Arabidopsis thaliana: one gene and its partners. The protein of the gene in region 3 interacts with the protein of the main gene of each other region in a pairwise test. Each region holds a gene or a part of one and is shown on either strand. Other genes may lie near its edges. The genes, in order: HB34, AT5G43540, MYB117 and RHA1.

Region 1 (5,986 bases), on a different chromosome or scaffold from region 3:
AAATAAAAGTAAGAGACATTAAGAGAGAGAGGGAGAGAGGGAGAGAGGGAGAGAGGGAGAGAGGGAGGGAGGGAGAGAGAGAGAAAGAGAGAGGGAGAGAGGGAGAGAGAGAGAGAAAGAGAGAGAGGGAGAGAGGGAAGGAGAGAGGGAAGGAGAGAGGGAGAGAGGAAGGAGGCAAAATTGTGAATAATACATAAAATATAGAGAATATGATTTTAGCATTTTAAAATTGTAGAAACAACAAAAAAATTAGAATAAAATGAAAAAATATATAAAAAAGAGAGTGAATTAATTGAAAACACCAGAACTAGTATTTTAAGAATGTTCATAATTCATATTAAAAAATATGATAAATAGTTTTCTGCAAATCGGATTCCATCAATAATTTGTGATTAGTAAAACGACTAAAATTTACATCACAAAATTATTTCAGTATATTCCACTAAAATTAATTTATAGCGGAAATTAGGTCATCTATGTTTCCAAAAAATAATTATATAAATTAAAATAAGAAGTAGGAATTTTGTTAGCAATAGTTACGTCAGGAATAATTCAAATTAGTAAGTGGTGCACTGTGCACATGGTATATGGCAGTTAGGGCCATAACCTCACCCTGTGTTAAAGTTTGTCCCTACCACGAAAAAGAGATTTGTGACTTCACGAAATCTGTAAAATAATAGCAAATATATATTAATTTGTTTATTAGCATAAATTTAACAAATTCTATTTGGTGATAACGTAAAATATATATATATATATATAATGTATAGATCTTTACCAAAATCTCTCTCCATATATATTGAACCAACCCTTAGTTTTGACCCAAAAACCCCTTAATTAGTAAAACTTATTAAAAACGTAAACCATTTTTCTTAAGTAAAAACTTGAACCTCAGATTTTTTCGATAAATTTCTGTAATCAAGTGAATTATCACTGTTTAGATTTTTATTCTATTACAACATCATTCAACAAATAATTTGATTTTCTAAAACCATAATGATAATATAATCCAAAATTTTCTTTTTTTATAAAACATAATTAATAGTACTACCTATTTAGTATTTACAAACGAATGCACAACAAACAATTCTATTGTAATATAAAATTCATTGCATATATTCATTCATAGGTCAAATTTAATTGACAATTCACATAGAAACCCAGATATTCTATCTACATTATATTATACATCTTTAGATAGTTTTATCCATAAATCTAGCTAATTAGACAAAACGTATTCTCTAAGAATTAAATCCTAGACACCAAAAGCATACTACATAACATATTTTGTGCTTTCTCATGCAATATTCTAATCTAATTACAGTTTTATTAATATTTTATGTTTGGTAAGCCGACATTTATTAATCACGACTAGTATCTAATTGTCTTAAGCCTATCGCATAATCACGGCTGCATTTCTACGTTTCCCAGTTAGAAAGTTATTTAAATTATTCGTAAAGTTAATGATTAGTTCCACGCCCTAAATTAACACTATATAGCACTTTAATAATAATAGTTAGATCCCAATTATATAATATATACTTATTTGTAGTTTGCACTTTAAGAATATCGAACACTTGAGCATATATACCAAAAACGGATAGTGGGAATGTAAGGATGATAAAGAAATGGATTAATGAGGAAATTAAAATGAATTATCCGATGAATCTTTTGTTAATTAGACACCAAGATAACTAATCATTGCAAAATATATTATTAGAATAATTAATATATAAAACAAAACCTGTCTCTTTTCTCAAAGAATAAAGAGAGATTTATGAAAAGGACACCTAGATCTTAGTTTGATCGCATATTAAATTAAGCGACAAAGTACTCTTCAAGATAAGAAACCATCAAATAATATTAAATAATTAACTAAATTGCAATAGTTTATTTATGTTTGGGACTCACATTTTAGGGTTCGTTTGATTACCTAAATTGACCTATAGTGTTGTGACTAATTCGGGTGATTAGTTCATATAATCTTTCCATTAGTGGAAAAGTATTATGAAACCTTTGGGAACGTTACAATTTAAAAAGACAAAATGCTTTTAAGATAAGAAGCCAAAAAACATATTATTAAAAAAAACATTAAAGTTATAAAATTTTCCTCATTAGGGTTCATTAAATTAACCAAAATTGACTTATTATAACATAATCCAATTTGTTGATATAAACTTACTTTAAATGGAAAAATAAGACAACGTCGTGGTAATGAAATTATAATAAAATTGGAAAATTAAAAAAGAGCTAAAAGAGTTTAATTAATATTAATAAAACGTATTAACGATAATAATACCAGTGCTTACTCTCTATGATCTAAAGCTAAAAACAAAGCTTAAGCTTCCATTATTATAACTCTTTCCCTGCAAAACGACATGATGTTTTCTTCTTCACGACGAAGACGACGAGGCGTTTACGTTTCCGCCACCATCAGCTCCTCCACTATCACTCTCAAATCTCCCACCACCACCGTCACCGTCGTTAGCTAAACCGCGAACTCCATCATCGTTACTGTTCTCGCCGCCGATACCGTTATCGTTTCTCTGCACGGTGGTTGCTCCTCCGCCGGAGAATTTGAAGGAGTTTTTGTTATTATGCATCCAAACTTTGAGAACACCTTTATCAACTCCGATCTCACGGCAAAAATCACGAACTTCGTCTTCGTCACGTTTCTGAATCTTCCAACCGATTCGATCGGCGAATTCATGCATCTTCTCTTTCTGATTTGAGCTAAACTTCGTCCTGAATCGCTTCCTCGAGCCAGGCGTGGCGGAGAGATGGTTAGCCGCGGCGGCGAAGTTTAGATCTGAGAACGGTGCGGTTTTATTATTACCGGAGAGAGCTAAAAGCATGTAGGAGGAAGAGATAGGCGGCGGAGAAGATGAATTAGGACTACGTGGTAACGGAGGAGCTAGCGGAGGAGGAGGATGATGACGGTGATGAGGCTGATACTCAATTGCGGCGGTTGTTGTTGAAGATGGAAGAAGAGACGGTGGTGGAACGGCGGAGGAATCGTCAGTTTCACGGCGGTGGAAGTTACGGTGACAACCACAAGCTGCACACTTGAGAGAAGTTGGATCGGAAGGTGTTGACGAAGGAGACGGCATAAATTCGCCGCAACCGTCAAGCGCGTGACCACCAATCGCCGCCGCGTGGTTCTTGAGACATTCTTTGTAAGTGACTTTGTTGTTGTTGTGGTGGTGGTGGTGGTGGCGTTTGATGATTCCGTTACTGAAAGAGATTGGTTTAGCTGGTTGGATCCGGGTCGGAGTTTCGGATTCGGGTTCTGGTGATTTTGGAGTCATATCCATTGATCTAACTTCAAGCATCTTTATGTTTTTATTTTCTTGAAAAAAATCAAGAAAATATTAGGGTTTATGTTAAGCTTACAAAAAAAGAAAAGTTTGATATTGAGAAATGAAGAAGAAGATGGATAAAAAGAGATTAAATCAACTTTTGAAGATCATGTTTTTTGTAATAAGTTTAAGAAAATAAACTTTAGAGGAAGAAGATGTGTTATAAGATGATGATAGTGAATCTGCTCTGGTTGATGAATGTTGCTAAGAGAGAATAAAATAATTTAATAGGGAGAGATATAAAAATGTTAATAAATGTGAATAATAAATATATTTAAAATAAAAGGACAGAGCTTGAAGATGTTTAACAGAGAAAGGTAGGGTTTGATGATTTAACTATGGTTAAATGTATGGTTAAAAGTGGGACCTGTAATAGGGAGTGGGGAAATATATATAGAGTAATAAATGTCTTAAACCTAAAGACAGTCCAATTATAATTAATATTCTCATGCATTGTGACACTTCTTGTTTTTTTTTGAAGTTGGCTTCTTTTTACTTTATTCTAATATTTGTTCCTTCTGTTAAAATATGTTTAGCATTTTGTATATTTGACTATTACAATGTAATTACCGAACAACTTTGTAAAAGTTTACTTATACTATTAGGTATTATTGTAAACTAAATAGTTGTTTTTCACAAAATAATATTAAAAAAAATACTTATTCTGTTTTGTTGTTTAAAGATTTTTTCCAAAATAAGTATTGTTCTAAATTTTCAATGTAAAATCTATAAAGTATGAATCAGTTTGGTTTTTAAAATATAATATATATTAATAATTTATATAAAAATATTTAAAACGATATTATTATGAATGGAGGAAATATATGTTACCAGCAGGTAACTATATTGAAAAATGAATAATCTCAAATAAATTCAGTGGTTATCATTTGAAGTCATTCAGCCACCTTTAAAATAAATTCAGCCATCATCAGTTAAGGGGTTGATTGGTTCTCCTTCTACTACATGCAAACGCATCATTTACATGTGGTAACAATTGTTAGTGATTGACAATAATCATATAAATCGCGGGATACTGCTCGGATCGCTCGATATCAATACATTTCAAAAACTCCTTCCCGCAAACGTTTGTAGTTGTGGATGGTAGCGGTTGAATTAAAATATTAAAATAATAATAAATAATCAACATATTTGTAATTAAGATAAATATATATAATTCTGTATATATCTTTTCATATTTGTATCTAATCCTATATATTATATTTATTTTGGATCTTTTTTATTTATTTAATTATTATTGCATCTAGTCATAAGATTTCTGCAAATGCATCTATTTTGAAACGTTAAATTAGTCGTTTAAAACGCTTGAAACCACAATATCTCGCTTCCGCAAATTTCCGCAACCGCAAGCGAAACCACAGCCCCGTCCGCTGCAATTAAACCAGTCATGTCTTTAGTCATATGCAGTTAAATTCTTCGGTTACCATAAATAGATCCTATATCAAATTCGGTCTTTTGGGTTTAAAACTAAGACCTAATGTCTAAAAACTACCGTCATTCAAGGTCATAGACTAAAATCTAAATTAGTATCGGAACTTACTAAATATATGTAATTTATATTTATTATTTAAAATATTCAAATTTTGATGATTCTCTGTCATGTGCGGTGGTGTGTACAAACAATCAAGCAAACGCCATGGGCCAAGGCCAATGTGTTCGTACCAAGCGACCATCGCCGAGAAAAACGAAGTCGGTGGCCAAAGTTTCTTCTGGGCGATCACATCAAGAGCATCACAACTTGCTCCTTCTTTCGAACAAGCAAAATACGGCTAAAACCAAAAAAAATAAAGAAAAACATTTCAGAACAAAGCCAATGATGACTAAACCATAGTGATGAGAATAATCACTATACAAATGAATTGGCAAATAAGAAGGTCGTATTGTACGCATGTTTTTGGATTCTGAAATCACAAATTATTTTCCAACGAATGATTGCATCATTGGACCGAGAAATTCAACCTATCGATCGGTAACCAAACACGAAAAATATGATCCTTCGATTTTTTTTTTTAATTATCTCTCAATCGGTTCGTACACCACCATCAAACATCAGTTAAGTGGTACGTGAAATATTAAACCACATATTACGTCCGATATAACAATCTTTGCCTTCTTCGTTTTTTGTCACAAATAAATTATGTGCATCTATGTGTATTTTGAATTTCGTACTACAAATATTTCTGTACATGGATTAGATATACAGATTCGGTGCATAAAAATTATGGTTAATGATGTCTATTATGAGAATAAGATGTATATTATGTTGGGGACTAAGTTTTCTTTATTGTTTTTTTTGTTTGATGATAAAGAATTATTCTATTTTCTTGGTCGAAAGAATGATGGAACCACATTTTTCTAGATCAGGAATCAGATTATCAGAAGAAGATAAAACAATATTTTTTTTTTGTACGTTTATTAGCTATAATGCATTAGTTTCTAACTGTGGCTATTAACTTAGACCGCGAGAGATTAAGAACATATTTTTAGCTGACCCGAACCAAATTAGTGATATACTGTAAAACGATTTTGGACAAGTTTCAGTGGCCCAATGGACTATATTAAATTACTATATTACTCCATCTTAGACAATTTTTATTGATGGTATCTTA
Region 2 (5,124 bases), on a different chromosome or scaffold from region 3:
ATTGGAATTTGGTAGATTCGAAGGGCTTGAAAGCAAATTACTTGAAATTGAAAGATAAGAACTTTGAATGGGCTATAAGCCGTTCGTAACCCATTATCGTTATAAGCCCATCTAAAGAAATGCCGTATTTGCGTTGACCATTCAAACTGAATGAAAATATTAATTTACAGTCATTGTAATTTGGTAAACTCGTGCTTCATTTACATTAGGTGATCACCATGAGTCCATGACTAATGGTAGACGTAGTTGTGGCGTTCGAGAAAACAAACGGCTAAAAGGAGTCCATGAACAAGTAACCAAACTACAAAAAACGATTTGAAACGGCTAAAAATGAAAATAGAAGCTAATGAACTTATGGTAGAGTAGAACTTAGAACTTACAAGTACATAAGATTCTCAATGTGACCAGGGAAACACAAAATCCTAGGAGCATGTTTACCAATTCCATTGATATGTCTAAACTCATAATCGGCGATTCCATCAATCTCAACCTCAATTCTTCTGATGATACTCTCTCTGACCATATCGAAATAGTAAACAAAAAAGTGCTTAGATGACTTTAAGCATCTAGATACCACTACAACCTCGTTGTTATGACTCTCTCCACTGCACAAAGATAGCTCCTTGTCACAAGGCACAACACAAGTCATGATGCTTGACTATTCTTCTTTCTCAACATCGTGTAGAATCCATACACGCAACTTAGATTCACAATAGGAGTCATAGCTTACACATGCTAATTTTCCTTTGTAATTTGTAAGGGTTGAATAACATGAGATTGCATTATAATCCTCTGGTGCTTGAATAAACATTATCTTCTCGGATCTAATATTAAATCTAGCTATCTTTGTATGTCCAACACCATAGTATATAGCACTATTGATGCAAATCCCACCTTCTAAGTAGGAGTAAGCATCTCCCGAGATCTCGATCTTTCTCCACGACGATGAGTGTGATGTTAGTGATAAAACCAGATGCTCTTGTTCTATAACGTATTGTCTATGGCCGTCGTCACACTTAAGGAACATCATCACACACAAAATTTTGTATTGATCATCGACAGGATCGTATCCGAGACGTGTGTAGATGTCTCTTCCGTTGGCTTTAACATGGGGCAATACCACCAAACCGCCAGTGGTGGGATTAAAAACCGCAATCCTAGAACCACGGGTGCAGCATATTAATCCGTTTACAGGGGACAGATTTTCTATTTGCCAAATTTTTTTATATATAGAATGCGAAGATCTGGACAATTAATTAATTATGGGACAGATTTCACTATGTTATGGAAAAAAACTATAATGAAAATAATATGATATAAGATAAAAGATTTATATATATCTCATAGATAGATCACAAAACATGCATAAATAAATACCCACCAAAAATATCTTACCTTGACATATTATAGTCTCATATACGCTTTCCTAGATTACATATATCAACCTCGAAAACCATATAATATACACCAAAAAAACGTATTATTATACATCTATAGAGGGTAAGAAGTTGATGATCATAAGCCAAGACGCAGCTCCAAATCGATTTCATTTCCTTCAACGACGACGTTTTCTCTCCTTGTAGCCATCGAGCCGATTCGTAAGTGTTGGATGTAGTTCGAGGTCGTCGTCCTCAACACGACGGAGTCTACTTGCTCGTAGCCTCCAAGGTCAGACGCCACGTGGAAACATCTATGAGTTTGCGAGAGTGCCACGTCAGCATCGTTTTGCACCTTGGCCTTGTTGAGACGGTCACGTCGATGGATGTTCATATGACCACCTAAAGCTTGTGCGTTTGTGAAACCTCTTTTGCAGAAAGTGCACTCGTACATTCGTCTCGTCACGGTGGAGACTGACGACGACGACGTACGACGGTGCCTGACTGCTCCGGTTTCTGATGACGTGGACGACGATGATCTCTCACACTCCATATATATATATATATATGTGTGTGTTGCCTCGATCGATCGAGGGATATATATTTTGAAGAAATATTGATACCCGAAATATAGGACTTTAAGGGAAGATGAAAGATGAAAGAGTTGTCAAATGTGTTGAGTGCATATAAGGATGGTTTATATGATAGAGGAAACAAAATTTATATATAAGACTAATAATACTTTTCTTGATGTGTGTTTATATGTTTGGAAGACATGATTTGGCTTTTTCTTTCTTCGTATATTTATGTACCAATTTTTTCTTATAACTATCACCGTATTTGAAGGATTTATTTATTTATTTATTCTCATGTATTATTTATATCTAGATTATAAATGTAGCCTATTATTAATTATTAACTTGCTAATAATAGAAAGTTTATATAGCTAAATCTAAGAGGCAAAATAAATTTATACCACTAGAAGGTATTGCTCCTCAAAAATTACGTTTAGACCATGTTATTCAATTGGTTCTCTAGTAAATCAGTGAAAAAATATATTTATTTTGTGAGTAGTGATGATCTCACAATTATCTAAAACTTTTACAGTTTTGTTTCCAACAAAAATACACATGTAGAATAAATTATAAGATTATGATTTTTTAATCAGTAAAACAATATTTACTATCGTCTCTAGTAGTTTTGTTTACAATACAATACTCGTATATAAACACAAAGCAACGAACATAAAACAAAATATATATCGAAAGAGACATAACAAATTAAAGATTTGATTATAAATCAGATAAAACCAATCCTCACATTAATCCAGTTAACTGAAATCCAAATCAACTTCAACTAAACTCTTCAATTAGTCCACAAAATTACAAGAAATGATGACAATTAAAAGGCAAGGGAGTGGTTTAAATCAATCGTGTTATTATATTTTAATTTATAAAATATTCCTTTTGTGTTTGTCTTGTAATAATCTAACCTTTTATCGCAAAACGTTTTTAAAAGTTAGGTCTCGATTGACTGCTTACTTTTTCTACTACAAAATATCACAACGATCATTTTTTACTAAAACAAAAACAATATTTTGATGAAAACGAATTATCATAATTCATAAGTCATAAACTTTCAAAAATTTATCAAAGAGATAAAGATAACATAGACATAATAGAGTACAAAACTAAACTTTAGTTTATGGGCTAAAAATAAATATTAGCTTAGGTGATCGTAAATAGTATTTTCTTGATTAAACAGCTCGAAAAAATGAAGATGTCATTTGATTGCAACTCGAGTACACTGATTCGTTTAATTACTGCCACATCATTGATTGATTACGTTACATGTACACCTAATCCGGTTTGTTTGGGTTTGGTCTGCTTTCCATCATTAGTTTAGAATCCTAGTTCCACAACATTCCGCAAAAAGCACCAGTGGTCTAGTGGCATGATAGTACCCTGCCACGGTACAGACCCGGGTTCAATTCCCGGCTGGTGCACTTTTTGTTACTTTAGTGATTTTTTTTTTCCTTTTTTCTTACATTACGTTTCCAGGCTGGATGTTCGTCTCTCTATATAATTTGGTTGCAACCTGCAAATATATTTGTATACACTAGTACTTTTTGATTCATGACTAGATTCATCGGATAGACGAAAATCGACAAAACCTAACATATTTGTTAAGTAGCTTATGTAGATTGTAGCTATATCATACTCATACAATATTTGCATAGGAAAAATCTGGCTTCTGAAATTTGATTATGTAGCTTTGGCAGTGCCGTATTTTACACGTAGTTTGTTACGGAACAATATAAGACAAAATCATTAGAATCTTGCTTGTAGGTTACGGCACTTAGTTTAGTAGTTACTCATCTGCAGAAGCAGAGGAATGGTGAGAAAAACTTGACCAGATTTGTTGCCACATCTTTCTTTGACCCACTGATCTAAACCACTGAAGCTGCTTTTTCCAAACTGGTTTCTTTTTTTTTGTCTGTTTTTCTGATCGTAACTGATGTTTCAAAATTACATAATCCACGTTCAACTGTTCATATACACAATATGTGGATCGAGACAATCAGTGTTCAAAATTACTTATAACTCATTAGGGGAGAAAGATAAATAACTTGTACCAATATTTACATGAAAAAAAACAAAAAGAAGACTCTCTAACTTCAAAAGACGATTAAAAAGAAGACTTTCTCCAAGTCTCTCATCGGAACAACATTTTAAGCTCCTCAAGTCTTGCAGACCGGACTTCTTCATCTGTCAAAGCTCCGGCAATCATCCTCTGCTTCCTTGCCTGAACTTGCTGCATCCGTTCCTCCACTGTATCCTGCACACAATCATCCAAAACAAACACAATGTTACTTACTTACGAGATCTTGCTTACGATGCTAGAAACTCAGAGAAAGTTGCAGTTTATAGTGTTACCTTGACAATGAATCTTCTGACGAATACCGTTCGTTTCTGCCCTATTCGATGAATTCTCATGATCGCTTGCTCTTCCACCGCTGGATTCCACCATGGATCCTACGTATTTCAAGAAACATAACCAAATGATCAATTCATCATCATCAAGAAGACTTAAAAAAACAAAGCTTGAAGAGAGATGGTACCATTAAGAAGACACTTGAAGCTGCAGTTAGATTCAGACCGACTCCTCCAGCTTTCAGAGACATAAGCAGAATCTGTAATACATCACAGAAGCAGAAGCATAAAGATCTTAAGCTCTCTGTTCGATTTGGACAAGAGTTAGTTAGAAATTTAGACAATGACTTACCGTTTTCTGTTTGGTTTCATTGAACTCTTTCAAAACCTTTTCTCTTCCCTTCTGAGCCAGCTTCCCATCGAATCTAAGAAACTCAAATCCTCTTCTTCGCAATGGAATCTCCAAAAGATCCAAAAATGAAGTCCACTGGCTAAAGACAATGCTCTTCTCGCCCGAACCAGATTTCTTGATCTTCTCTAAGCACTTGAGCAGCTCCGAAACCTTTGAAGACTCCTTCCAGTTCTTTACCACATCAACACGGAATATACTATCTGTCGGGCATGAGATAAGTTCGGTTCTCTTCAGGATTGTCCTGCAGATTGGGCATAGACCACAAGATGGAGAGCGCCAGCTAGTAAGGAGACATTCACGGCACATTCTGTGAGCACAAGGTGTGAGAACGGGATCATCTGCAGACTCCAGACATATTGGACATTCTTTGCTATTGCCATCGCGTAAATCTTGGATAACTTCT
Region 3 (6,174 bases):
AGTCTTAAGCTGTCATCTAATCTTAACAACGAGTCAAAAGAAACATCTGAGAACAGTGATGACCAACACAGCGAGATCACAACAATTACATCGGAAGAAGAGAAAACAACTGAACTGAAGAAACCAGACAAGATTCTTCCATGTCCGAGATGCAACAGCGCAGACACCAAATTCTGTTACTACAACAACTACAACGTTAACCAGCCACGTCACTTCTGTAGAAAATGCCAGAGGTATTGGACCGCTGGTGGATCCATGAGGATCGTCCCGGTTGGCTCAGGCCGTCGCAAGAACAAGGGATGGGTTTCTTCAGACCAGTACCTGCACATCACTTCCGAGGATACTGACAATTACAATAGCTCCTCAACAAAGATTCTAAGCTTCGAGTCTTCGGACTCTTTGGTAACTGAGAGGCCTAAGCATCAATCAAACGAAGTGAAGATAAACGCTGAACCTGTTTCACAAGAACCCAACAACTTCCAAGGGTTACTTCCTCCCCAAGCATCCCCTGTTTCGCCTCCTTGGCCTTACCAATACCCTCCAAACCCTAGTTTCTACCACATGCCCGTCTACTGGGGCTGCGCGATACCGGTTTGGTCTACCCTCGACACTTCTACATGTCTTGGGAAAAGGACAAGAGACGAAACTTCTCATGAAACTGTTAAAGAGAGTAAAAATGCTTTTGAGAGAACAAGCTTGCTTTTGGAATCTCAGAGCATCAAAAATGAAACAAGTATGGCTACAAATAACCATGTGTGGTATCCAGTACCGATGACCCGCGAGAAGACACAAGAATTCAGCTTTTTCAGTAATGGAGCTGAAACAAAGAGCAGCAACAACAGATTCGTCCCTGAAACGTATCTTAACCTGCAAGCAAACCCTGCAGCCATGGCAAGATCTATGAACTTCAGAGAGAGCATATAACGTTAAAGGAGAAAAGAAACTTTGTAGATACCTTTTTTTGTGTGATGAATTAACTTTTAATATCTATCTTATTTATATACCACAATCCCCATTTTGTAGATTATCCAAACAGATGGAAATGCTGAAGTGTAATGTCTTTTTTGGTAAATGTGGTTCGAAAATATTGTTTACTCCATTATTTGTATTTTGTAGTACTAGTGTATAAATTAATTGGAAAAAAAACATATGTGTGAATTTTCATGTAAAGGAGAAAAAGTAGAGAATCTTAACTTGGAGTCCTTGGTACAGAATCCATCTGATTGGTACAAACTAAAAGCTAAAGGAGAAACATAAAAGTCTCTTTCTTTGAAAATAAAATAAGTCTCTTCATTTGCGTATAAAGGGAAACAATAAGAAGAAAACACTTTAAGCACTTTTTTCCCCCTCTCTTTAAGCACTTTACTTTGGGAGAATTACTAAAATGAGTGGAAAAATGTTAATTAGTTTTAGAATAGTTTTTATCTTTTCGAAAATCACTTAATATTGACTTCACTCGGATGTTTGTTCCCAAAAAGAGAGACTCGAGAACATCTCCGAAATAGATTGGGCCTATTGAAGCAATTTCAGACCCAATGGGTAAATTAAAAATCTTCTCTACAACAACCTTTCAAAATCCGAAAAACCCATACATTTATCCACGTTATATATTATTTTAAAAACTCATATTCAAAACCAAAACTAATTTTTTTCCTTTTTTTTTAACCCAACCAAAACTATACAAAAGAACAATTCAATTTAAATTTTTCTTTTATATCTACAACATGGAAAGAATTACAAGAAAGAAGGGCATGTGTGGGTCCGCGTGACATGAGAGAGATACATAGGTAAGAAGCTTGAAGAGTTGGAAAAACGGTTTGAAGAGAAGAAACAAATGCAATGTGTGTGTGAGATTTGGTGAGCATGTTTCATGTTTGGCCTTTCTGTTGCACAATCTCTGCCTCAATTTTGGCAGTTCCTCTTCTCTTAATTACGCATCTTCGTCTCTTTCTCCAACTCCTAGAAACTCCACTCTTTTTAATTTCCCTTCTCTCTCTCTCTCTCTCGTTGTTATTCTCAACACGTCTTTAGCAATATTTCACGTCACTTCATCATAAAAGAATCAACTTTTTAAAACCAATCTCTCTTTGTTAAATATTTCTGAACGAGTACTACTAAAAACAATGACTTATCAAATGTTACACTAGACAACCAAGTGCCAACAACAACAATCTACAGTTTAGTAATTAACGTAAACGCAAGGACAAAGGCTAGGATCTGGTTTGTTTGTTTTCTAGCTACTAAAGCTAAATGCTATTTTTTTTGTAACCAAATTTAACCACTGTCGTTATCTGATTAACACCAATTTGTTCAACATTCACGCCGTCCCCAAGCCAAGAAAATCGAAAAAATGTGGTTGCTGCTTAGCCTTTTCGAACACCTCCTCATCTACCGCGTCCATTCCGATCCAATGCATTGCATCATTTGGCTCCGGTTTCTCTTGGTTACTAGGGTCAATGTGCGGAATATTGCATAACGCGTCTGACGTGGCACCAACGTTATCGCCGACCATCATTTGGTTGCCAAACATACTCACAACCATCGGAGGTTCATTGTTCTCATAACCTGAACGTTGTAGATATAACAAAAACCAAAAAAGAGTTCAAAATATGCAAAAGACAATTGAAAAAACTATTGAAAGAGGAGGAAGAGCTATAGGCTACCTTGAAAGCAATGGAAAGGCAACACAAGCTGGTTATGGTCACTCGTGATAGGGGCATTATTAACCAGGTGATGAGTCAAATTAAACTCGGGGAAAGGCTGAGCGAAGTAATGATTAGTGGAGATAAAAGAGTGGTAATTAGGGTTAGGGTTAGGATGATGATTATTGGTGAGGTGAGGTTTAAGTGGATTATTACTCATAAGCTTTCTCCTACGGTAAGCAGAAGAGTGTTCTCTATACTTACGAGCCATGACAACATGCCAATGGTTCTTCACTGAATTATCAGTTCTACCAGGGAAAAGCCTCGCAATCATTGCCCATTTGTTACCATAAAGCCTATGTGCTTGCATCAGCCTCTCCTCTTCTTCTTCTGTGAAAGCTCTTCGGTTTATCCTCGGGTCCAATTGGTTAAACCATCGTAGTCTACAGCTCTTCCCTTTAAAAACAATCAAGATTAAGTTAATAAAACTCAAAAAAAATTACGTTAGGACTTAGATTGGACATAGAAGGCTAAAGACCAAGAAAACTAATAAAAACAAAAATTGATTTTATCACCGGATCTTAAGAACTTGACAGATCCAGATGAATCAAACAAACTGGTTTTGATGAAATTTTGAAGATCTATAAGGTTTTGATTTAACTTGCTGTCAAAAGAAATAGAAAATAAATAAGGTTTTGATTTAACTTACCAGATCTTCCTTGAAGCTTTTCAGCTATGAGGTTCCAGTTTTGTGGGCCGTAAATGGAGACAAGCTCTTTGAGTTTAACATCTTCAGCTGGTCTCCAATGTCCTCTCCCCAAGACCGATGGTTTTGAAGACGACGAGGACCAAGACTGACCACTATCTGTTGTCTCCTTCTTACCACTCTCGCTGTTACTGAAATTAGGGTTATTATTATTACTCTCTTCTTCGTGAACCGCTACATCTCCAAGAGGACTCTTCAAGATTTCAAACTCATGACTTGTGTTGCAGTGACGATGATGATGCTGATGAATATTAATGTCGTTGAAAGGGAAGTCCCAAGAAGAAGAAGCTCTTCTTGCGACGATCTCATCCATCCACACTTGTTTTTCCGTTATAAACATGGAGTTAGTGTTGGGAGAAAGGAAGAAGAAGAGAAGTGTTATTGAGAATTAAGAGAGATGTCACGTCAGCTTATAGACATATACCATCGGAGGAGAAAGACTTATGTGAGTGCATTTGCATATTATATATACACGTACGTAAATGTGTGTCATAAATATTATTTTTTAAAAATAATAGAATATCTTTTGTATATAATGGTGTGTTTGTTACGTATGGCTTTAGGTATGTGCGTGTATGTACATGTCGCGACCGTGTTTTCTGACGACTGTTAAAAAGGGTTATGGACCGTCGTCACGGACTAATTCAAACGACAGAGTTCTTTGCATTTATACATTATTATATATATTACATATACACTACTGTAATAAGTAAGTACAAATGTGTATTATCGATATTCGATTTTGCTGTGGACTGTTATACATTTGTTCAGGTGTACCTAGTTTCATAGAAGTTAAAGAGTTTTTCTGATAAATCATTTATTAAATTTAAAAGTAACTAAGATTTGAAGACCAAGTTTTTTTCCATGTCCATAGATTGATAGTAATTGAAAAGTATGCAATAGTTTTATAGTCGTATTAGGGTTCATAATCAAACGATAACATTAATTACGCTGCTTCTCTATGGTTCCTTATACAAATTTCCTACTTTTATGAATAATTAATGTTTATCTTAGTTTGATGTATAAGATAGTATTTCCTCTTTTATTTAATGAAAACCAATGGATTATGACAAAATAAATTAATGTTGGGAGTGTCGACCTAAAAAACAATGAATGTAGAGAATATCTTGGACGAGTCCGAAATGAATCTTACCGTTATTAGGTGAAATTTATCCTCTATTAATCAATGCATGTTTTATAGGTGCAAGGTGAAAATAATAAAAGCTAATGAGATGAAAGAAAAAAAGCTGAAGCAGAACTAACTACCAAAAAAGGATGAAGGCAAAAAGAGAGTTTACCATTGGGGAATGAGTCGGGTCTCTTCTTAGCACAACCAATTCTCAGACAGCTTTTTCTTTCATTTCATTTTGGGTTCCTTAAAATTTACCTCTTTCTCTCTTAATCTCCACTTGTCTTTCATTCCTTTACTTTTTACTACCATTTTTGTTTCTGTGAAACCCTCTCTTATCTTAAAAAATTAACCACAATCTTTTTTCTTCATTCAATTTTTTTCTTAATTAAACATCGCTTCAATATACTCATTTTCTCCTTGTCATGTTGTATCAAATAATCTTGAAATTTTGACTGTTTTATTCTTTGTAGCAGTCTCATGGTTTTTAATAACGAGATATTACAATGCCAATTCAAAAAAACTCTCAACCCTAAATATCCCACATACATGAGGAATGTGGCCGTGTGGAAGTGTGTATAAGTAATGAGAATGAACAGTAAAAATGTAAAGAAATAACTTTTAAGACCTTTTCGTATTTGACCAGAAATCCCAATTGGCAGACGTAACCATTAAATATGGGATAAATACAGATACAAAAGGGGTCTCAGAACTGTACGATCCTCTGCACAGAGATTTAACCGAACGCACTACAAACTCTCTTTCTCTTCGTCATATTTTCTTTTTAATTGGTCAATCACTTTGAAATACACATTAATATTATATATGAAATATGAAATAAAAGGTTGGGTGAAGAAGTATATATGAACTATATAATTTTATGAAACAGAAAGTTATGCAGCTTTATTTAATTTTATATTTTGCAGAACAAACATTTATAAAAATTGTAATCAGTTTTTTTTTACCGTTTAAAATGAAATGATGAAATAAAATATGGTGAAACACACTATTAATTATGTTTGTTTGTAAGTAGAGCCACTAGCTAAAGTGGGACTTCGATTTGGTTGTTCTTTTGTTTTGGGCTATGAATCTATCTTGTTACTTTGTTTATATCCAGTAGACTAGTACTAGATTTTCGATTCTTTCGTCTAAAATACTAAGTTATTAAAAACATATGTTCTATTTACACATGGAATTATTTATAAACATGTTAAATATTTAAACATACCTTGAAAAGTAAGAAGAGAGTCTAACTTGGAAGATTAAAGGAGTTTGATGTTACTGCTTGATCGAGTGTAGTAGCTTGTTTTAGGGAGTGACTAACAGAATAAGCAACTAAATTACTCTGGAAACAGATGTATGTAAAGCTCATATAGTGAGGGGACAAAAATTATCTGAGGTATAAAATAGATTGCGATCTCATGGTCAATCCGTTTCGGTGGATATATTAGCTACGGTCCATGCGTGACTCAGTCCAAAATTGATTACAAGCTTGAACATACCTTTTTCAACATAGCATTAATATATACTTTTGTCAGTTTGTCACAAAAATACATCAAATGTGTAATAAGGAATCACTAAAACGTTGGAATTAATCCAAAGCTCAATTTTACTCGTCTGACATAATCTAATTTTTA
Region 4 (6,540 bases), on a different chromosome or scaffold from region 3:
GCAGCTCCTATGGTGCAGTTAATGTTTAATTCGCCAATAGCGAAATCAACGGCTGAGAATTTCGAAGAACACATTTTGAAAGCGTTTGAGGCTGTTCTTGGATCTCCAGTCACGTTAGAGATGAGAACCGAGTCGAAGAAAGACCTCGGTTTCTCGTCATTACAAGGTTTAAGCAACGGTGAGAGATTCCGTGAAAGCGGAAGAAGCGAAATCGTTGAAGTGGCTGACTCTGAATCTCCAATGACTCGAGTTAGAAGGAAACACTTGGAAGCAAGTCAAAACCAAAACCAAAATCAGAACCAGAGCATTGTGAGAGGAAAAGTTTCGTTGGCTCAAGTGATTAAACAAGCTGAAGGAAACAGTTGGTCGAAACACAAAGCTGTGGAGATTGCAAATAAGCTTGAACAAGAGAATTTGTAAGAACAAGATTAACCAAAACTTGTTCCTAAAATTTTTTTTTACAGTTTTGTTTGATAATTCGTTGGTTTTTGCAGGAAACTTGAACCAAGATCAAGAAGCTTGATATGTTGGAAAGCATCAAGAAGCACTCGTCGCAAGGTAAACACATTCAATTTCTCTCTATTCTTTATATATATGACTCTGTTTGTTGTCTTTGTGATTGAAAAATTGAAACTTTGAAATTGTAGCTATCGAGATTGAAGGTGAGAACAAGGAAGTTACGATTACATTCGTTGTTGAAGCTTGTCTCTTGTGGGAAATGTCTATCAACGAGATCTCCTCCTAGATAGTTTTGTTTCTTCTTCTTATTTTGCTTTACTTCTTTTCTTAGATCATAATGTAATCTTTGTAGCTATAGAAATTTTCTTGAATCTTTGATCAAGAAATCTTTATTTAGCTAAATAATTATGAGTTTTTATTTTTTATTAGGGCATGACAAAATTTCTTGCATTTTGTATTATTTTTGATGAAATAGTTGTCAGATAACTCAAAACCAATTGTTTCATTGATCTCCTTCGTTGGTTTGTTTGGTCCATCATTGAGTATATAGTTAATAAGAGTTCTATGAACATCAAATCCGATGTCGTCCAGCGGTTAGGATATCTGGCTTTCACCCAGGAGACCCGGGTTCGATTCCCGGCATCGGAGCTTTTTTAATTCTTTTTAGAATTTTGTTGTTTCTTTTCCTAAACTCTGTAACTCTCTCTTTGTTCATATGTTTGCTACAAACAAAACTGACTCTGTAAATTATATAACTGAAATATGAAGGCAAAGAAACCAATTCTGCATATGCATTTATGTCACTCCTGCCTCAAACAATAGAGAGATTTGTTTTTACAGAAACAGAGTAATAAATAATGAACACATACAATAATCTCAGTGGAACCAAAAGAAAACTATTTTACAAAAACCTCATTCATGTCAAGAAGCTTTCTCTGTAATGTTATTTACATTCCCTGAATTCCACCAATACGTCCTTTGATTTCCAATCTTATTACCATTATTATCATTACCGACATCTCTTCTCTCTGACTGAACTTCTTGTTGCTCGGTTGATCCAGGGTTCTCTGTCAAACATTGTTCCCAAAAGTCATCGTTAACGCCTGTTTTTGGAGCAGGCGCAGTAACGGTAACGGGCGGCTCTGAGTTCATATCAATCTTCGATGATTTGGGTCGTGTATCGCCAATACTTAGACTTGACTCAGCTGCATCATGATCCATGCTTGATGACTGCAAACCGCTCTTCTCGCATGATTCCGATACAAGATTCTCCCAAAACGTTAGCGAAGATTCTAACTTTTCGACCTGTTCTATGTGTGAACTGCTTGGAGGAAGAGAGTTCTCTTGAAATCTTCTTTTTCTTCTCTCATGGTTTTCGAGGTTTAGTGAAAGTCCTGGTTTTCCCAAAACCTGTGAAACATATGCCACTATTGATTTCTGATGTTGTTCCATATGTTGTAACCGATCTTTCAATGTCGTTACTTGCAGCTCAAACTCTTTCCGTTCTTGCTCTTGGTTCTGTAACTCCGCAAGAAGGCCTTCTTTCTCATTTTTCAGTCTTTCTATCTGATCCTCCATGCTCCGTCTTTCTGATTCCGTCAAAGGATTTTGCGCTTGTAGATTCACTAACGAGTGGCTATGAACCGGTTTTCGTCTATGAATGTTCTTCATAAGGTAAGGTCGACCTCTAACAAAATCATCATTCAAGAATTCCCATTTCTCAGGATCTACTTTTCGAAAACCCTACGCAAACAAAAACACAAAAAGGTTGTTAATCTTAGCGATGCAGCAAACACCAATCCCCAAAGAGATGAGATACAAAGACAAAAGCTTTACATATGTATTAAGCTGACGGATGAAACTTGAGAAATTCTTATGCTTGAAGAATCTCGGAAGAAGGTCTCTTGAAAACTCTGCTGGATTCTTGACGATGAAGCTTTTGTTGTTTTCGCTCCAAGCAACGACCGAGTCAGAAGAAGAATCATCAACCATTTCATATGTTTTAGTAAGGAAAGGTGGAAGTGAGCTTGAACCTCCATTATTTTCATCCATACCTTAACCACTTCGAATCCAAGACGTTTAAAACCAAACCCGAACAAAAAGTCCCTTGATTAAGTCTTATAGTCTGTTGGATAGAACAAGAAGCTGAAATCAAACTCAACTAGAGAGACTCATTGAAAACATAAACATTTAATTGCAACAATTCCAGTTTAAGACACAACTGTCAAGTGTTTGAATCAATATACGAATCGATCTCTCAAGCTTTAAGAAGCAAAGTAATAAATGACAATAAAAACCAAGACTTTTCCCTCACAAGCTTCGAAATTTATTGAATGGGAGAAACTAAAAAAGTCAAAACCCCTAATTTAGCTCCAAATCTATCCGAATCCGAAATAAGGGCAACACGAGAGAATGAATGAACCAAACCCTTTTGCTTCTACAACCAAATGATTGAAAATCAGAGAGAATCAATCAAAAATTCGAACATTTCTTGTCCTTTAATGTTTCTGATTTGGAATCATCAAACGTACCAGATGATGAGTGGAGAAGATTTCAGATTTGACTCGATCCCGATTGACGCAAATTGGGAAACAATCTTCAAAAGTCTCTTTGATTTGATTGATTAAAGGAACAAACTTTCTTACAAATAAGAATTGAGAGAACGTAAAGCAAAAGAGAAAATTTTCGAAAATTTGAGGATTGAAGGAAAGGTTTGATTTGGCTTCCAAGACCAAAGGGTTGATGGAAGCGCGTATGAATGGCAACAACAACTGTTGTGTCTAAAAGACGGGTTTGGTGGTTTATTATTATCAATCAACTCTCTTTTTCTTTTCTTTTTAATTTACCAAATATAATTTCATATAATTTGACCCAAAAAAAACATAATAAATTTGTAATGTTGTTGATCATTTTGACTTATGAAGATTGATCAAATTAAGAAAAATATGATGTTGTAGATTATAATAGGGAGAAATACAAATGAGAATCTATTTGTAATTTCTTTTAACTTCATTTTATTTTGAAAGTTGATTTCCATTACCAGTTCACTTCACTTCTTCTCCAAAAATTATTAGCGACTAAAACAAGAGAAACATCCTCCTTTAGATTCATTCAAAAATTTATCTAATTTTTTCTTAATTTTACATTCATCGAGTTTTTCTCTCTTCACAATTATTGTGGCCTCTTCCTCATCAAAATCAACAAAAGCAACTCCTAACAAAACAAAACAAAATAAAAACATTTGTAAACATTGTTTAATTTAGAGAACTTGCAGTTTATGGCAAAACATTTTTAGTGAAAATGTGTTATATATTGCCATTTTAATGTGTTGGTTATTATTCTATCCATCCATCTACAAAATATACATTATAAAATATTGGAAGTCACATACCAATTTATCATGTCCAAGTTTTTTCAATCAACAATGAATGAATGTATATTCTTGTTATTTACCAAATAAGTAAATGACTAAAATATTAAGCCTAATAAAATGATCTACATAAAATCCCTATATCTCTAACGAATGGTTTATTTTAGCTCAATACAACTACATATTTGGTTGAGTTGGTGTACCTTCACAATTAGCGATACATCGTAATGCGTCATATCTAGTCCCTTCGTCAATAGATCCAACCTTAAATTGAAGCTCCTCTTTCTGCAAACAATAAAATCCAATCAAGTCTTTTATAAATTTTTAATATACGCAATAACTTCGTCTAATATGTGTAGTTATATTTATGTTTTGTTGTACAAGTTTCTTACAAAAAGTAAAACCATTTTTCCAAAAACTAGGAAACTATAAAAAAAATTGAAAGTTTGAAAGTTGGTGATAGATGATCCAAACGAAATGTGATTGCAACTTAGTCGCTTGCTCATCAACCTCTATTTATATAGGATTATTGTAAACACAATTATTAGATATGCATTATGTAGTCTCAAAATAATTTGACATATAGTAATATTATATAATTGAGCTTTCAACATATGTTAAGATTTTACAATATACATATCTTAAAGATCTCTAAGAATATGTCCCAAAAGCCAAGTATTATAATAATTAAAACTTTAAATGGATATTAAAAATAAACATTGTTGTCCTCAAATCATGGTATAGTAAAATTTCTATAAATTAATACTCGATAAATTAATAATCTATATAAATTAAAAAATTCTTCCGATGCAAGTTGGAACCAATGTAGAATTGACACAAATCGATAAAACAATAAGATAATAAATTTTTGAAAATGTTATGTTAAAATATAGCCTTATCATTTATCATAAATTAATAATTGTATAAACTTATCAATATATATATATATGATAGTAATTTATTTATATATATATGTCATATATAGATTACTATAATTATATATAAAATATTTTAATGAAATTATGACTCTAATGTTGTTCATTTTTCTTATATTTGGATTATTTTTTGGTACAATTCATTTTTAAAATTTTTACTATATCAAAAAGTTTGTATTGTTTTCTAAACTTCATAATTAATTTTCTTTTTATAATTGGTTTTAGAAAAATATTGATTATATTGAAACCTGCTTTCAGATATAATTTTGTAAGAAATTAAAAAAATTAGTAAAATCTCTCCATAATTTAGTAATTATATATTAATGGAATTTCTAGAGAATTTACTGTAGTTTAAAAAAAAAAATCAACTTTCATTAACTTGGATCAATGTAATCTGAGTGCAACTCATTGGATATACAAGAAGGAATATGAAAATGAGATATGAAGTCTGAAACTTCTGTTTGTTGTTTCTTCGCTAAAATGTCTGCAGGTTTGATTTGTTGCTCCTAGTGTCCAATTGTCAATTGCTCAAATATTCTCTCCCATGCTCTTCTTTCATAGGTCCAGTTAACCAAATCAAATCTTGAGCTGCCTCCATTCAAGCTATTGACTAGATTTTTGCAGTCTCCTTCAAAAGTCAATTTCATGTAACCTCTTATCCATAACTTTTGTATTGCAATGATAAAGCTTTGACATTCCGCTTCTAAAGTGATCCAAAAAAATATTTAAAATATATTGATTGATCTTTTTTTGTTTTCTTTGTAATTATTCAAAACTACTGTTTCATAATATGGCTTATTAGTAAACAAAAACAACTTAAAAGTTTTGATATGTAAACACACCATTGAACAAAAAGCCCAATAAAGGCCCATAATTTAACTCTACCCACACAAAAAGTTCTCGATCTTGTCAAACTCAGTCCACTGTTCAAATTCAAAATCTTCATTAAAAACCCATTGATTCAATCACAAAGAAAAACACTAATCAAACAAATTAACAAATTGCTTATCACGAGGATGTTTTACACAAAGACAGATCGAACAAACAAAGCTATTGTTCATCATTGTCTACTTAATCAAATCCTCTTAATACAAGTAAAATCAACTAAACCGAAATTAACCAAAAATCATTCATCTCTTCCAACAAACTCCTTCAAAGCAACTCTCATATCTTCAAACTTGACACAATCACCATACAAAAACTCACCAAGTTTCTTCAACTCAACATCTTCCAAATCATCAGAAAACGGTTTAATCGGAAACGCATTCTCCGGTTGAAGCGCGTACGAGTTCGGATTATCATCAACAATCACCACGCGCCTCAAATCTCTCATCACAAACCCTAAATCCTTCACTAACCTCCCATCAATTTCGCTACACGCGTCTCTGTAAAAGCTACGCGATATCACGCGCCGCTCTGGATCCAATTTATCGAGCACTAACGACGCGTACTCTCTCAATCCCGCCGTGAAAACAACGATCTGGTACTTTTCTCCGATCTTCTTCAAAAACTCGTCGACTCCTGGCCGTTTGATCACGAAAAACGTTAAGATCTGACCGTCGATTTTGGGATTCACGACGAAATCATACGGTACTTCTGGTTTCTCCATTGATGAATGAACAAGAGTTTCGTCTAGATCTAACACGATCGTCTTCTTCGTCTCGTCGAATGATTTACCAGATCTTTCGTGAAACAATGAATACGGAGAATTCTGAAAATCTTCGCGAGGTTTGAGGATTTTGAATCCTTTTGTTGCGTGACGAGAAAACAAACAGA

Evidence for each region.
Region 1: the proteins of MYB117 (region 3) and HB34 interact in a two-hybrid assay, tested with the Arabidopsis thaliana proteins (one large-scale study listed by BioGRID).
Region 2: the proteins of MYB117 (region 3) and AT5G43540 interact in a two-hybrid assay, tested with the Arabidopsis thaliana proteins (one large-scale study listed by BioGRID).
Region 4: the proteins of MYB117 (region 3) and RHA1 interact in a two-hybrid assay, tested with the Arabidopsis thaliana proteins (one large-scale study listed by BioGRID).

What each region holds. Positions count from the first base shown.
Region 1 is NC_003074.8:10,938,205-10,944,190, forward strand, and holds HB34 (homeobox protein 34), read right to left. Parts: upstream 3,630-5,986; 5' UTR 3,333-3,629; coding exon 2,394-3,332; 3' UTR 2,101-2,393; downstream 1-2,100. UniProt on the Arabidopsis thaliana protein: Putative transcription factor.
Region 2 is NC_003076.8:17,493,798-17,498,921, reverse strand, and holds AT5G43540 (C2H2 and C2HC zinc fingers superfamily protein), read right to left. Parts: upstream 2,068-5,124; 5' UTR 1,930-2,067; coding exon 1,516-1,929; 3' UTR 1,228-1,515; downstream 1-1,227. Other genes in the region: AT5G43550 (F-box associated ubiquitination effector family protein), read right to left, coding at 659-1,030; AT5G43530 (Helicase protein with RING/U-box domain-containing protein), read right to left, coding at 4,092-4,214, 4,313-4,411, 4,498-4,569, 4,662-5,124.
Region 3 is NC_003070.9:9,268,607-9,274,780, reverse strand, and holds MYB117 (myb domain protein 117), read right to left. Parts: upstream 3,830-6,174; 5' UTR 3,749-3,829; coding exon 3,352-3,748; intron 3,099-3,351; coding exon 2,664-3,098; coding exon of another isoform or gene 2,653-2,663; intron 2,566-2,652; coding exon 2,318-2,565; 3' UTR 2,068-2,317; downstream 1-2,067. Other genes in the region: AT1G26790 (Dof-type zinc finger DNA-binding family protein), read left to right, coding at 1-924. UniProt on the Arabidopsis thaliana protein: Probable transcription factor that involved in boundary specification, meristem initiation and maintenance, and organ patterning.
Region 4 is NC_003076.8:18,537,547-18,544,086, reverse strand, and holds RHA1 (winged-helix DNA-binding transcription factor family protein), read right to left. Parts: upstream 3,423-6,540; 5' UTR 2,991-3,422; exon of another isoform or gene 2,585-2,990; 5' UTR 2,512-2,584; coding exon 2,296-2,511; exon of another isoform or gene 2,203-2,295; coding exon 1,381-2,202; 3' UTR 1,224-1,380; downstream 1-1,223. Other genes in the region: AT5G45720 (AAA-type ATPase family protein), read left to right, coding at 5-416, 495-558, 648-749; AT5G45700 (Haloacid dehalogenase-like hydrolase (HAD) superfamily protein), read right to left, coding at 5,891-6,540. UniProt on the Arabidopsis thaliana protein: Transcriptional activator that specifically binds DNA sequence 5'-AGAAnnTTCT-3' known as heat shock promoter elements (HSE). May be involved in general response to auxin.